Rattus norvegicus: one gene and its partner. The protein of the gene in region 2 interacts with the protein of the main gene of each other region in a pairwise test. Links are inferred from orthologs where the notes say so. Each region holds a gene or a part of one and is shown on either strand. Other genes may lie near its edges.

Region 1 (6,707 bases), on a different chromosome or scaffold from region 2:
CAACTCCTGGGAATTGGCCTCTGACCTCCACATGTGTGTGTGTACATGCAGGCACACCAAGTGTCTAACCTTCACATGTGTGTGCGCCCACTAACGCGCATGCGTACACAAACACACACACAGTGTCTGACTTCCACATGTGTATGCATGTGCGCACATGTGTATGTGTGCATGCAGGCACACAAATATACTAAGTGAAATAAGTGTATAATCTGGATTTAAAAGTCATAGCTCTGGCAATCCACTGATCACCTGAAGATCTGTAACGCACTTTCTATTTCCTATACTAAGCAGTTTTCCCTGTGAGCAGTGGGCTTCAAACGACAGATAAAAGTGCAGCAGATCCAGAAAAGATTGAATTTGGAGTTAAGTGTACAGCAGTACAGACATTAAAAAAAATATGATTCCAAAGAAGAGGCCAAACAAGCCATTTCTCATTTAACAAATTGGGAACTCCCTCCAAGGGTCTGAAATCATTTTCTATTTTATACTACCACAGAGCCCCAGACAATTATAACTTCTTTTGAGAAAACTAATGAAAATTAGCAATTCGAATCTGAGCCAATCTTGGAATGGGAGTCAGGAGACACACTTTCTTGCATCCTGAACTTATTTTAAGTATACACAAATTACATCTGTAAATATTAACATATTTTTCTCCCAAATCTTTTATTTTTTAAATTATTAAAATGAATAGATGTTCACAATCCACTTTGGCTGGCTGCCAAACTGGCACTCAAAATATTGAATTCAGCAGATGCAAAGGAACTGCACGTAGCCAGATAATAACAGAAGCAAAGATTTAACAAAGGCACATGGATAGAAGAGTGAAGATCACCAGAGCATAATAAATAAACCAGAAAGCTCACAGGACCGATTCTAAACGAGTGACCAGAAATGAATATCTGCCGGCCATTCTGTAAGAGGGGAGCTGCAGTCCTGAGTCCTTCCCAGGAGCCTAGAGCAAACCTGTGAGAGCTTTGATTCCACTTCCCAATTTTATGAAGTAAAAGAGACAAGAAAGGTCAAATAACTGGCCAGCCGAGGTCACACCATAGTAAGTCCCAAAGCAGAGACCTAGGTCCAGCGGCCTGACCGTCACCATCCATGGCTATCCACTCTGCCATGTGGACTTCCAGGGTTGGGACTGGAACAAACTAAGCAAGGCGCCTTCTTGGGTGCATGCCCGAGAAGACACCCAAACACCTCAACCACAGAACAAGGAAAATTTAAAATGAGAATACAAAACTCACATGACAAAACAAAAATCTGAGACGGAGACAGGATGGCAATCTTTAATTCTCCTTCTGCCCAAGGCTAATCTGTGGTGGGCATTGTTTTAGACTGAATGTGCTTCACCTCTGCACAGGAGCTGAGTATGCTGGGGCCTTATGAAATATCCACATAAAATCCAAACCAAGTAGTCCTCAATGGTTCATTAATTTGGTAATAATAGTGAACTCTGATGTAGCCTGCTGAAACATCCAACAGGTAGAAGTGTGGAATAAAAACTACACATGGCTTTGCTTTTCCTGTCTGTGGTGCTTGAATATAATGAATACTAAGAGCTCACAAATCAGGATGAGAAAAGAAGCCCATTTTGGCCAACGTAAATTCTATACTTAGCCTTAATCTGACATGTTACTCTTACACAGTGCTACACTGAAAAAGGTGTATTTAACTAGTGTTTACTGAGCACATCTAAAGCCAATGATCTAAGAATAATGAAAGTAGGATTCTGATATAGGATACATGAAGCAGAACAAGAACTTGTTAACGCACATCTACTTATGGGCACATCCAACCCACATATCACTCTGATTTGTAGATGCAAAGGCAGAGGTTTAGAGAAGACAAATACTTTGTAAAAGACCATCTAGCCAGAGAGTGCCAGAACCAGTTCCAAGCCCAGATCCACTTGACTCAAAATGTCACTTTCTTTGGTGTTTGATATAAGTATCAAATTATTCTAAATTTTTACAGATTTAATACAGAATACAGAATTTAATCGGCACTGTGAAAATATAAAACTATTCATCAAATTAAAACTAGAAAAATATGTCTACATTGTTTTTACATTACAAATTTACATTATAAGTCATTGAGTAAATGCAGTTGATACCAACCTTCTTAAATCTTTCTGGTTCTCCTGCCTCTAGATGCTACATTTAAAATTTCTACTTATACTTGTTTATCTAGTGAATGTTCATATGCGGGTATGTGTGTTTCATAGCTCAAATGTGAAGAACAGTTCTCTCTTTCTGGAATTGAGCTCTAGAGTCAGGCTTGACAGAAAGTACCTAACTAAGCCATCTCACTGGTTCAATACAACATTTTTAAAATGCAGGAATAGGAATAGAAATGAGCTAGAGAGATAGCTCAACTGTAGGTTGCTTGCCTAAAGCATGCGCAAGGCCCTGGGTTTGACCTCCAGTACAGGATAGCCAGGCACGAAGATGCAGTGGACAATCTCAGTACTCATAGGCAGAGGCAGGAGGGTCAGAAACTGAAGATCATCTTTGGATGAATACTGAGTTCAAGGACAGCCTGAGATATATGGTCCCCTAGTTCACAACAAAAAAGGCACAAAGTATTAAAAACAAAACAAAACAAAACACTATTCCTCTAATCTGTAAGGTAAGTGGAGTCTAGTAATTGGTAAGGTACGTACTCTATAAAACTACTCTCAAGTCTTGTCAAACTACTACTAAGGAGGGTGTTTACACACTTCTGAAACACTGTTCAGGAAATCAGTACTTACTTGATAATCATTTCTCTTAATGTTTGGAACATCCATGTTGTGAGTGGAAGGACAAATATCTTCATATTTTTTGCCAGTGAAAATGTCAATTCCAACAAGGTGTACCTAAGAGAGGCAGGAAGGGCAGGAACATGTTTAATCTCTGTCAGCTATGTCACTCCCGACGCTGACTGTAATGGATCCTATCACCTCTCTCCAAGGTCGTCTCACTTTCTTTAAAAAAGTTGCAGTGGCACAGAACTGAGATTCAGTAAGTACCCCAAACCAGAACAGTTTCATGGCATCCAACTCCCAACACACTACACATCTCAGCGCTTCAATTACGAGAGTCCACAGAAAGTGAAAACCAAGTCTCTTAGAATTATAAGAACAGGCTTGTTTCAATGAAACAAGACGTTTTAGAGCACCAGAATTCAAAAAAGTTTTAGTTTCCAGTTAATGAGACATTCTAAGGGACCAATTAAAGGATAGTTTTATTGGGAGTAATGCCTGATCATTCAAGAGACCAAGGGAAGAAAAAAGTTATTTTAAATATAGAAATCTTATGATGTAGAATGGAATACATAGGATCTTATCCAAGAAGCCAAAGAGTGACCTGGAAGCGCTTACCTTGGCATGACCATGCTTCCCAGTCTTGGAAGTTGACATCTCCACGATTTTGCATGGACGCCCTTTGAGCACCACGAAGCCGTTTTTGCGCAGGGCTGAGCACTGCATAGGATAAGTGCTGGAAGCCCCTGCATCTCCAGTAGTGAAATCAATTTCGTCTGCCATGGTGGGCTGGGGAGATGTGTGGTTTTTCTGAGGGAACTATGCGAAAAGTTTGTTTGCTTTTTAATAACGGGCATGCAGGCGGGTACGTCTCATTTTGAAGACGGATAACAAGCCGAGCATCACTAGCCCGTTATTTTGGCATTATAGGACACCCACTCTGAGTGGTGTATACTTTGCCATTCAGGCCTCTGAAAACTTTTCCAGCCCTTGGTGGGAGGTGGGGAGGGAGCCGCAGAAGAGCTCGCCGGAGAGTGAAGGCGACACCAGCGCCGGGTCGGCAGGTCCGGTCCCCACCACCCTATCACAAGAAGTGCCGCGACCTTCCTGCGCCGGGCTGCCGGGCCCGGTGCCACCCTCCACCCCATCCCCACTGCCAAGGCATCAGCCAGGCCGCAGGTCCGGGAAAGACTGGGACACGAGCACCCGGCCGGCTGCACCTGGCCCTCAGCGCGCCTAGGACCCGCAGCGGCGCCGCCCTGGTATCCCGGTTCGGCCCAGTGGCGAAGGGCCCGAGCCCGGCGGTCCCGCGCTCGTCTGCCTTCTAGTTCCCAAGCATCTCCGCTCCTCCCCTCGCCCGGACCCCAGCATCACCAGCTGCGTCCCCCGCCCCGCCGGCCCGGCCCCTGGTCTTCACCTTCCGGCCCGCACCGCAAGCCTTTGCTGCGTCCGCCCGGTCCCTGCGGCTGCGGCGGCGCTGGCGGCCGCGGCTGGTCCAGGAGACGGGGCGGGGCCGCCACGCTTCCCACACCCGGCTCCCCGCCCCGGCCCGCCCCGCCCGGGCCCGCCCCGCCGCGGCTACACTTCCGGGATAGGCCCCGGCCCGCCACAGGCCCCGCCTCCAGATCTTCCATTGGCTCGAGGTTTTCTGAGGTCCCGCCCAGTCACGTGAAGCTCGCCCTGGCAACCCCACGTGCTGCGGATTAGTGCACTTCCGGCGTGCAGAGCTGCCTGCAGTCGACTGCTTGAAGCTTCGCTGAGTTCCCGGGCGGGATGCATCCTTATGTTCAGTTCCGGGCCCAGTTGACCTTGGGGACGACCATTAGGACCAGGTAGCTCGCTCTGGGCTCTAGCACGCGGGTGCATGGATGCTGTCCTTTAATGGTCTTCAAACTCTCAAGTCCCGCGGATTTTGCAAGAGTCCCGTGTGTCGGTGGAGTGGAACTTTGACTCAAGCTTCCGGTACAGCTTGCGGCCCTCCTTGGGGGTTTGGAATCCATGCTTGGAGCTCGAAGTTGTGGTGTGCTGTTTCATGACTCTGCGTTGTAGTTCCTCAGGACTCCAGAGGCCCTATGGTGAGGTGCTGGTGCAGCTGGAGAGTCAACAGTGTACCTAGGGGCAGGAAATCCCATGTGCCCAGAGACTTTATGCTGCCCTTTGATCTTCTTGGCGTCTAGGTGCCCTAGAGTTTGGAGTTTTGTTGTGGTTTGTGTTGTTAAGGAATAAAGGCAAAGATTCCTGAGAAGTGTGCTTTCCGATCATAGCTTCATCTCTCACCTTGGAGAGAATCAAGGTAATGAACTTACTACCCCACACCGCAGTTCGTGTTGTTCAATAATTGCTGTCTTGTAAGCAAATCTAGTCTCATACTCATGTATACGTCTATACAGAACACATTTCACTTGTGTTGTTTAGAAGCAATAAGCACATGGTTTCCGTAAAGTAAACTCTGCCTCTTGTTACTCTATGGAAGAGCCAAATTATAACTCCAGGCTTCCGAGTTCCCTCAGCTTTTCCTTACTTACACTGCCTAACTTTTCCCTGTTTTTGTTGTTATTACTGCTGCTAATACTTAAAAAAGAATTACAGAGTGTACTGTTTTATCTCCATTATTTAATCTTGACTACTAAAGTTTTTGTTTAAACTAAGGTTAATGTTAGAATTTATTTGAAATAAGGTTTGGTTTTCTACGAGTTTTGAAAAAGAAAATCAGTTATACAATTATCTTCCCATAATCAAGATAGAGAATATTTTCGCATTCCAAAATTCTCTGTGCCTCTTGGTCATCGGCCCTGTTTTCCACCTCTACCTTACACCCAGCCAGACCTTCCCAATCACTAATAGTTACTCTTATCCTCATTTTTGAATAATGGGGAGATTACACCCAGCCAGACCTTCCCAATCACTAATAGTTACTCTTATCCTCATTTTTGAATAATGGGGAGAAGGCCAGGACAATGAAGCAAGTTGCCCCCAATCGTATAGCTCGTCAAAGTCAGCCAGGATTAAAGTTGAAATCACTTCTTTGTCTGCCACCATATTCACATAAGATTTGTATGCATACTCAAATGACTATTAATTCAACAAATACAGTGACTTCTCCTGAGGTCTCTAGAACACTGAAGTAGCCAATTCTGAGCCCTTGATTCTAGGAGAGTCACAGTCCTAGATTCCTTATACGTTCCTTGGCCAAATCTCCATGGTGAATGAGTGATTGTCATGTTTAATTCTATTAGAGGCACTTTATTTCGTATGTGGTTTTTTTTTTTTTTTTCTCGGAGCTGGGGACCGAACCCAGGGCCTTGCGCTTGCTAGGCAAGCACTCTACCACTGAGCTAAATCCCCAACCCCTCGTATGTGTTTGTTAACAGTGGGTGTGTGGCTGATAGCACTACAGTGTAAGCCTAAAGGTATTTTATCTACACACTTCTCTATTTGGCACAACAGAACCTTGTGCATAGGAACACCAGAGAGCTTCTCAGCATAGTACTTGGGGGCATTTTAAGCAGGGAAATCACCCACAGGGTGCATAAGGTGCAAACCAGAAATCAAAGCTCTCACAAGCATAGTAAATATACCAGAAAGAACACGTATGTGCAGTTCGATAGTTGAAACCATCAAAGAGAACACTGCTGTGTTTGGCCTCAGCTCAGATCTCTGCACAGGCACAGACAATGCAGGAAGCATGTTCTGGATATTTTCTTTTGGTTCTTTATGCAAAACCACAAGTGTAGAATTCAAAAATAGTGAGCTTTGAGTATTTTTCATTCATTCATTCATTCATTCATTCATTCATTATAATTTATTGACTGTTTATTTGACCATTCTTACTTCTGGAGTTTCCAGAAGGGTATAGCAAGCCCCTTGTCCACAAGCTGCTCGCAGTCTGTCTGTCTAGTAATTCCCAAAGATGAATAGTCCTGACATGACATGGAACACTGACAAAAGGAGCTCC
Region 2 (6,382 bases):
ACAACATCGCCAAAAACAACAGTCTGGGGTGGGAGGTGGAGTGGTTGGCATTATGTAGATTCCAAGCTGAACTGCAAAGATTGTTTACCGGGAGCCAGGATTTAGAGAGCAGCCTGGGTCACAGAAGGACCCTGCCAAGGAAATGTCTCCTGTTTTGAAGCCTCTTGCAGTAAATCCATCCTGTGCACAGTCCACAGGGGGCTGCTGCCAGACTTCCTCTTGAAATTTCCTGCTATTTATATGATCAGCACCACCGTTCCTCAGACAGGGGCTGCATCATTTAGGCTGGTCCTTGACTCCTAGGCTCACATGGCACTCTTGACTCTTCCCGTCGAGTAGTCAGCCTGGGTACTCCCATCACACCCAGCCTGCTTATCATCCTTCCTGCTGTCCCCCGAGGATTGTCCTGACACTGTTGTGTTCATCTGTTCATCCAACAGTGTATTAGCCTGGCTGAGCTGCTACAAGAAAAAGCCACAGACTGAATTGTAGAAACCCCAGGAATTGTTGGCTGGAAATATGAGGTCAAGGTGCTGGTGTTGATTTCTCTAAAGACTAGTGCTTCAGCAACCTCTTTTAAATTTGTATTTTAAAACTGCATTCATTATCCCAGCGCTCAGGAGACAGAGGCAGGTTGATCTTTCTCGGTGGGTTGAGGCCAGTCAGTTACATAGTGACACTGTCTGAAAAAAATTTATGTGCGTTGAGGGGAGGGGAGTTGCATGTGAATTGGGTCAGAGGTCATCTTTCTGGAAACTGTTCTACCAGGCCAGTCTTCGAGATTGAACTCAGGTGTCCAGGCCTCCTGAGCAAGGGCTTTACCCACTGAGCCATGGTCTTACTGGCCTGGAGGTCAACTTCTTGCTGGGTCCCCAGCTGCTCTTTCCTCTGCTTGTAAATCATGGTGACTGAGGTTTATCTGAGCATATCGGCCATCATTCTCTGACTCAGTGCAGTGTGGCTACCTTCACGGAACCTGTTCCCTACAGCAGTAGGTGTCATCAGACTCTCACTTGGGATTCAAGTCCTTTTGCCCTCCTGCATACTACCCATTGCAGATCTCCCTGCAGCCAGATGTGGCATTTGGGCACTGCTAGCCTATAGAGGAGGTTAAACGAAGGGGAGACCTTTATCTGTGCATCTTTGGGGAAATAGTGTCTCTGATATTTTTATAACAGGAATTTTCTGGGTCTTCTGGCCTCAGTCAAAACATCATGTGTTTGGCAGTTTTCTCCAGTCACCTTTTCCCTCAGCTCTGGTTACCAATTCCTCCAACCCACCTTCACACTTAACAGAGTGTGTGTGTTTTCTAGGCCAGAGGACAACCTCAGATGTCACTCTCATTCACCTGGTCCCTAAACCTGTGTGTATGAGCTTGTGCACGCATGGCATGCTTGTGGAGGTCAGACAATAATGTAAACAGGTCCAGACTCTTCTATCATGGGCCTTTGGCTACTGAGCCATTCTTCAGGTCCCATCCCCAAGGATCTACTGGTCTCTGCTTACCCAGAGCTATTACTGGTATTGCCAACCCCCTACCCCTCTTGAGTTCTGGCAATTAAACACACATATTCAATCCACACTCTTGCTTTTTTGCAAAGCAAGGACTGTACAGACAGCTATTTCCCTAGCCATGCCCGTCCCTTTTGTTGAGAAAGGGTCTTGCTTTCAATAGTTCAGGCTGGCCTGGAACTCGAGATTCTTTTGCCTCCACCTCCTGATTGCTGGTTTAGCCACCTAATGGTTTCCTGTTCATCAGACTATAGTCATCAGGAGGGCAGAGTCCATTGCTAAATCGCAGCGCCCAGCAGAGAGCACTATTTCTAGTGTAGATTACACAAACTGTAGAATGAGGGTGCCCCTGTCCTAGGTTCAGTGTATCATTAAAGGGGACGCATGAGAAAAGATTCTCAACAAACTTCTTTCGGCAAAAAGATGGTGGTCATCCCTGTCTCCCCAGAGGCCTATGATCCAGTGAAAATTGAACTATGGTTGTAGGGGGAAAAGAAGTTTGTAGCGACTCGAGGAAGCACCGAAAGAAAACACTCCCATTTGACAAAAGTCTGCAACTAACTTGTCCAAGGGCTCCGTCCTAGAAACAATCACCTCGCTCATGGGGGGACAAGAATATTTGGACAGACAGTTTGCAAATCAGGCACTTTTATCTACTTGAAGCTGAATCTGCCTACAAGGAATAACAAACAGCTCCTGGACCACATGTACGGAACACGGGAATAAAATGGCTGCTACCAGGCCCGCAGGCGCTGCCAGGGCCATGTGACTCAAGTAGCTTCCGGTACCCCTCCCCCGCCCCCGAGTCGCATTTCCTGGGCTCCGGCGGACCAAGCTGAAGGATTTGGCGGGTTCCAGGGCACCGAGACTGCTGTGACCAGAGAACGGCCGAGAGCGCATGGAGGGGACCCCGTCGGGGGCGGCGCCCTCCTCGGCGCTGGCCGCTGTGCTCAAGCACAGCTCAGCGTTGCCGCCCGAGAGCGCCCAGGTCCAAGGTTACGACTTCAACCGCGGGGTAGATTACCACGCGCTTCTGGAAGCCTACGGCACCACCGGCTTCCAGGCCACCAACTTCGGGCGCGCGGTGCAGCAAGTCAACGCCATGGTGAGGCGCCGGGCGACCCGGGTGGGAGGCGGGGCCGCTCCGTCCGCGTGAGTGCCGGGGAGAGGCGGAGTCCTGGTTAACTAGTGTTCCGCGATGGGAGGAGCTTGGGGTTAAAATCAAAACGGGCTTGTAGGAGGAGCTTAACGCTGGGAGAGCCCTGGATTCGCTTTTCCCACTGGAAGGAGTCCTGAAGAGAAGACACTGTGTTGTTCTTAAAAGGGAACAAACCCCAAGTGACAGACCAGGACCTGGAATGGGAGGGTTAGGGTCTGCACAGGGGTTGTGCTTTGGTTTTGTAGTAGTCTCCCTGAGTGCAATCAACGTCTGGAATCCAATTCATGTGGGGTTCCTCCACTGAGGTTTGGAGTTTTAGTGCAACTTTACTGTGCCCCTATGCCCAGATTGAGAAGAAGCTGGAACCACTGGCAGTAGATGAAGATCATCACGAAGACCTGACTCAGAGCCGCCGCCCACTCACAGGCTGCACCATTTTCTTGGGCTATACGTCCAACCTCATCAGTTCTGGCATCCGGGAGACCATTCGCTACCTCGTGCAGCACAATATGGTGGGTCCACGTTAGATCAGTGGCCCCAGCCTCTCTGGGCCAGTAGACAAAAGGGTTATTGTTCATTTAAGAAACATGAAGAGGCTCAGAGATTAAGAGTATTTGCTGTTCTGTGAAAGATTTGGGTTTGGTTTCCAGCAACCACCTGGTGACTCACAACCATCTGTAATGGGGTCTTCTGTGTGTCTGAAGAGAGGGAGAGTGTATTCACATACATAAAATAAATCTTAAAGGGTGTGAGGAAATGGAGTATTGCTTTTAGACATACTGGCAGTTTCTTCCTTCCTTCCTTCCTTCCTTCCTTCCTTCCTTCCTTCCTTCCTTCCTTTGTATATGAGCACACTGTTACTGTCTTCATGTACACCAGAAGAGAGCATCAGATCCCATTACAGATGGTTGTGAGCCACCATGTGGTTGCTGGGAATTGAACTCAGGACCTCTGGAAGAGCAGTCAGTGCTCTTAACTGCTGAGCCATCTCTCTAGACCCATACTGGCAGTTCTTAGACTTCAGCCTCCTTTCTGAGTGCTGGGATCACAAGAGTGTGCCACGTTTTCTGGGTCTGCTTTAGGCTTGAGTTGGTTTTGTCATAGAGCTCATGCTTTGGGTCTGGATGAGCTCAGGCCAATGTTAGGGGCACTACTTTGAAGAAGGGTCTGTGTTGTTGCTGGTGACCACAGGTGGATGTACTGGTGACCACTGCTGGAGGGGTGGAAGAAGATCTCATCAAGTGCCTGGCACCCACATATCTGGGCGAGTTCAGCCTCAGGGGGAAGGAGCTCCGGGAGAATGGGATCAACAGGTGAGGCTCTGAGTAGTGGTAGGAGCAGGGAAGCCGCGTTGAGGGTCCCAGTGTCTGATGCCCTCATGGATCCCATTTCTAGGATCGGGAACCTGCTGGTGCCAAATGACAATTATTGCAAGTTTGAGGACTGGCTCATGCCCATCCTAGACCAGATGGTGCAGGAGCAGAATACAGAGGTAGGGCTGGAAGGGCTCAGGTGGACCTGCATAGTTGAGTCAGAAGACATGGGCTAATACTGATATTCTCCCCCTTGTTAGGGTGTGAAGTGGACACCTTCCAAGATGATCTCCCGGCTTGGGAAGGAGATCAACAACCCAGAGTCTGTGTATTATTGGGCCCATAAGGTGGGTTGGGTGGGGACAGTATTCTTGGGGACAGTACTTAGGCTTTGACTTGCAATGACTTGTTTGACTTAGTAGCCACCTAAAAGTCTCAGTAATCATTCTTGGTCTTCCCAGAGTTAGACGAGGAATGTCGAACAGAGAGGCTAGGCGTCACTTGACTGCAGGGTTCTCCTAGCTATGCCCCTACACTCCTGGGACTCGGTGTAGTGCTTTAGAAGTCGGTGGGGCCTGACCCAGGGTACCATGTGCCCAGGGACAGTGCAGCTCAAGAGTCTGGACAATAAGACACTGCTCAGTGTGCCAGTACCTTCTTCAAGCCATGTGTGGTTTTTCCTCACGTCTGCATCCACATGCAAAGCAGAGGGTCATGTGCACCAGAGAAATCAAGCAGCCTACTCAGGTCGGGAGGGATGCCACTGGGTTGGGCATCAGTTTTGCTGGGGTATGAGGTGTAGCTGCTAACTGGTCCTATCTCCACCAGAACCACATACCTGTGCTGAGTCCTGCACTCACAGACGGCTCACTGGGTGACATGATCTTTTTCCATTCCTATAAAAACCCAGGCTTGGTCCTGGACATCGTTGAAGGTGAGGTGCTAAGGCCCTGGGAGAAGGGTGAGAAAAGCCCACCGAGTCCAAGGCCTGACCTCTGCCCTCTCTCCCAGACCTGCGGCTCATCAACATGCAGGCCATTTTCGCCAAGCGCACTGGGATGATCATCCTGGGTGGAGGCGTGGTCAAGCACCACATCGCCAATGCTAACCTCATGGTGAGTGGAGTGGCTCTTGGCAGCCATCCCCACCCTCTGCTCTGAGAGATGGTGGTATTAGATGTGCACTACAGCAGTGCACTCGATGGGCCAGAGTCCCTGTCCTCTTTGGAGTTATGTTGGGGTGAGGCAGGTCAGACAGCCATAAGTGACATGCATGTGAGGACTAAGTAATGTCAGTCAGGCAAGGTGACTGCTTGGGAGACTGAGGCAGGAGGAAGGCTTGTTCATAGTTCAGGGCCAATGCGAAATGTTGTAATGTGAAAGGAAAGCCGTTTACTGAAGGGAGTGTTGGGGACAGGCTTCTGGAATTGTAAGTTTGAGCAGAGATCGATGTGCTATCCACAAGTCTTAAGGTTATGTATGGGAAGAACATTCTCAGTGAGGGAACATCCAGGGTAAAGGCCCTGAGACATCTTCACCTCAAGTGGTGAAGGCAGCTTAAAGGTTACACTGCAGAGGTAGCTGGGCCTGTGGAACAAAAAGAGTATTTAGGAACTTGCTCTGAATGAGAACAGGATTTGGGAAGAACATATTTGCAGATGCTCTCTGGTGGGGTAATGGATCTGAGGCACAGAGTAGTGTCGTAGTGGGAGCAGAGGTAGGTTTGGTCTCCTGTAGATGGCTTGTGGCAGCCACCGAACCATCTCTCCAGCCCCTATACACCATTCTCACCCGTGCTTTAACTGGCTTGTCACATGGGGTGCTCAGAAGTGGTACATTTGGTTTAGGGTGGGACAGCTTGTACCTAGGTGGTGGTTGTATTGGAAACATGACCACCTGCCCATGAACCTCAGGTACCGATGGGTCCTTCTAAAAGCTCTCTAGGCCTTCCTCTATCATACCCAGCCTCTGTGGCTCTGGTGGTCTCTCTGTCTATGACTTCTGACCAGGCCTTCTTCTACCCACAGCGGAATGGAGCTGACTACGCTGTTTATATCAACACAGCCCAGGAGTTTGATGGCTCAGACTCAGGAGCCCGGCCAGATGAGGCTGTCTCCTGGGGCAAGATCCGGATGGATGCACAGCCAGTAAAGGTAGATGGTGGCCAGCCAGGGTGCAGGGTCCAGGGGCTGCCCCATGGCCCCGGGCTCACTCAGGTCCTCTGCAGGTCTATGCTGATGCATCTCTGGTTTTCCCCTTGCTGGTGGCTGAGACATTCGCCCAAAAGGCAGATGCCTTCAGAGCTGAGAAGAATGAGGACTGAGCAGATGGGTAAAGACGGAGGCTTCTGCCACACCTTTATTTATTATTTGCATACCAGCCCCTCCCTGGGCCCTCTC

What was found. The genes of interacting proteins can lie anywhere in the genome.
Region 1: the proteins of Dhps (region 2) and Eif5a2 interact in binary tests that used the Homo sapiens proteins (3 or more experiments, as listed by UniProt). The two-hybrid records come from large-scale screens. The link is inferred for Rattus norvegicus from reciprocal best matches to the Homo sapiens genes DHPS and EIF5A2.

The regions. Positions count from the first base shown.
Region 1 is NC_086020.1:113,655,379-113,662,085, reverse strand, and holds the start of Eif5a2 (eukaryotic translation initiation factor 5A-2), read right to left. Parts: upstream 4,253-6,707; 5' UTR 4,170-4,252; intron 3,572-4,169; 5' UTR 3,536-3,571; coding exon 3,371-3,535; intron 2,867-3,370; coding exon 2,762-2,866; intron 1-2,761. UniProt on the Homo sapiens protein: Translation factor that promotes translation elongation and termination, particularly upon ribosome stalling at specific amino acid sequence contexts.
Region 2 is NC_086037.1:39,987,373-39,993,754, reverse strand, and holds the start of Dhps (deoxyhypusine synthase), read left to right. Parts: upstream 1-2,336; 5' UTR 2,337-2,410; coding exon 2,411-2,617; intron 2,618-3,018; coding exon 3,019-3,183; intron 3,184-3,862; coding exon 3,863-3,984; intron 3,985-4,066; coding exon 4,067-4,163; intron 4,164-4,244; coding exon 4,245-4,331; intron 4,332-4,812; coding exon 4,813-4,918; intron 4,919-4,995; coding exon 4,996-5,099; intron 5,100-6,010; coding exon 6,011-6,136; intron 6,137-6,210; coding exon 6,211-6,306; 3' UTR 6,307-6,382. UniProt on the Homo sapiens protein: Catalyzes the NAD-dependent oxidative cleavage of spermidine and the subsequent transfer of the butylamine moiety of spermidine to the epsilon-amino group of a critical lysine residue of the eIF-5A precursor protein to form the intermediate deoxyhypusine residue.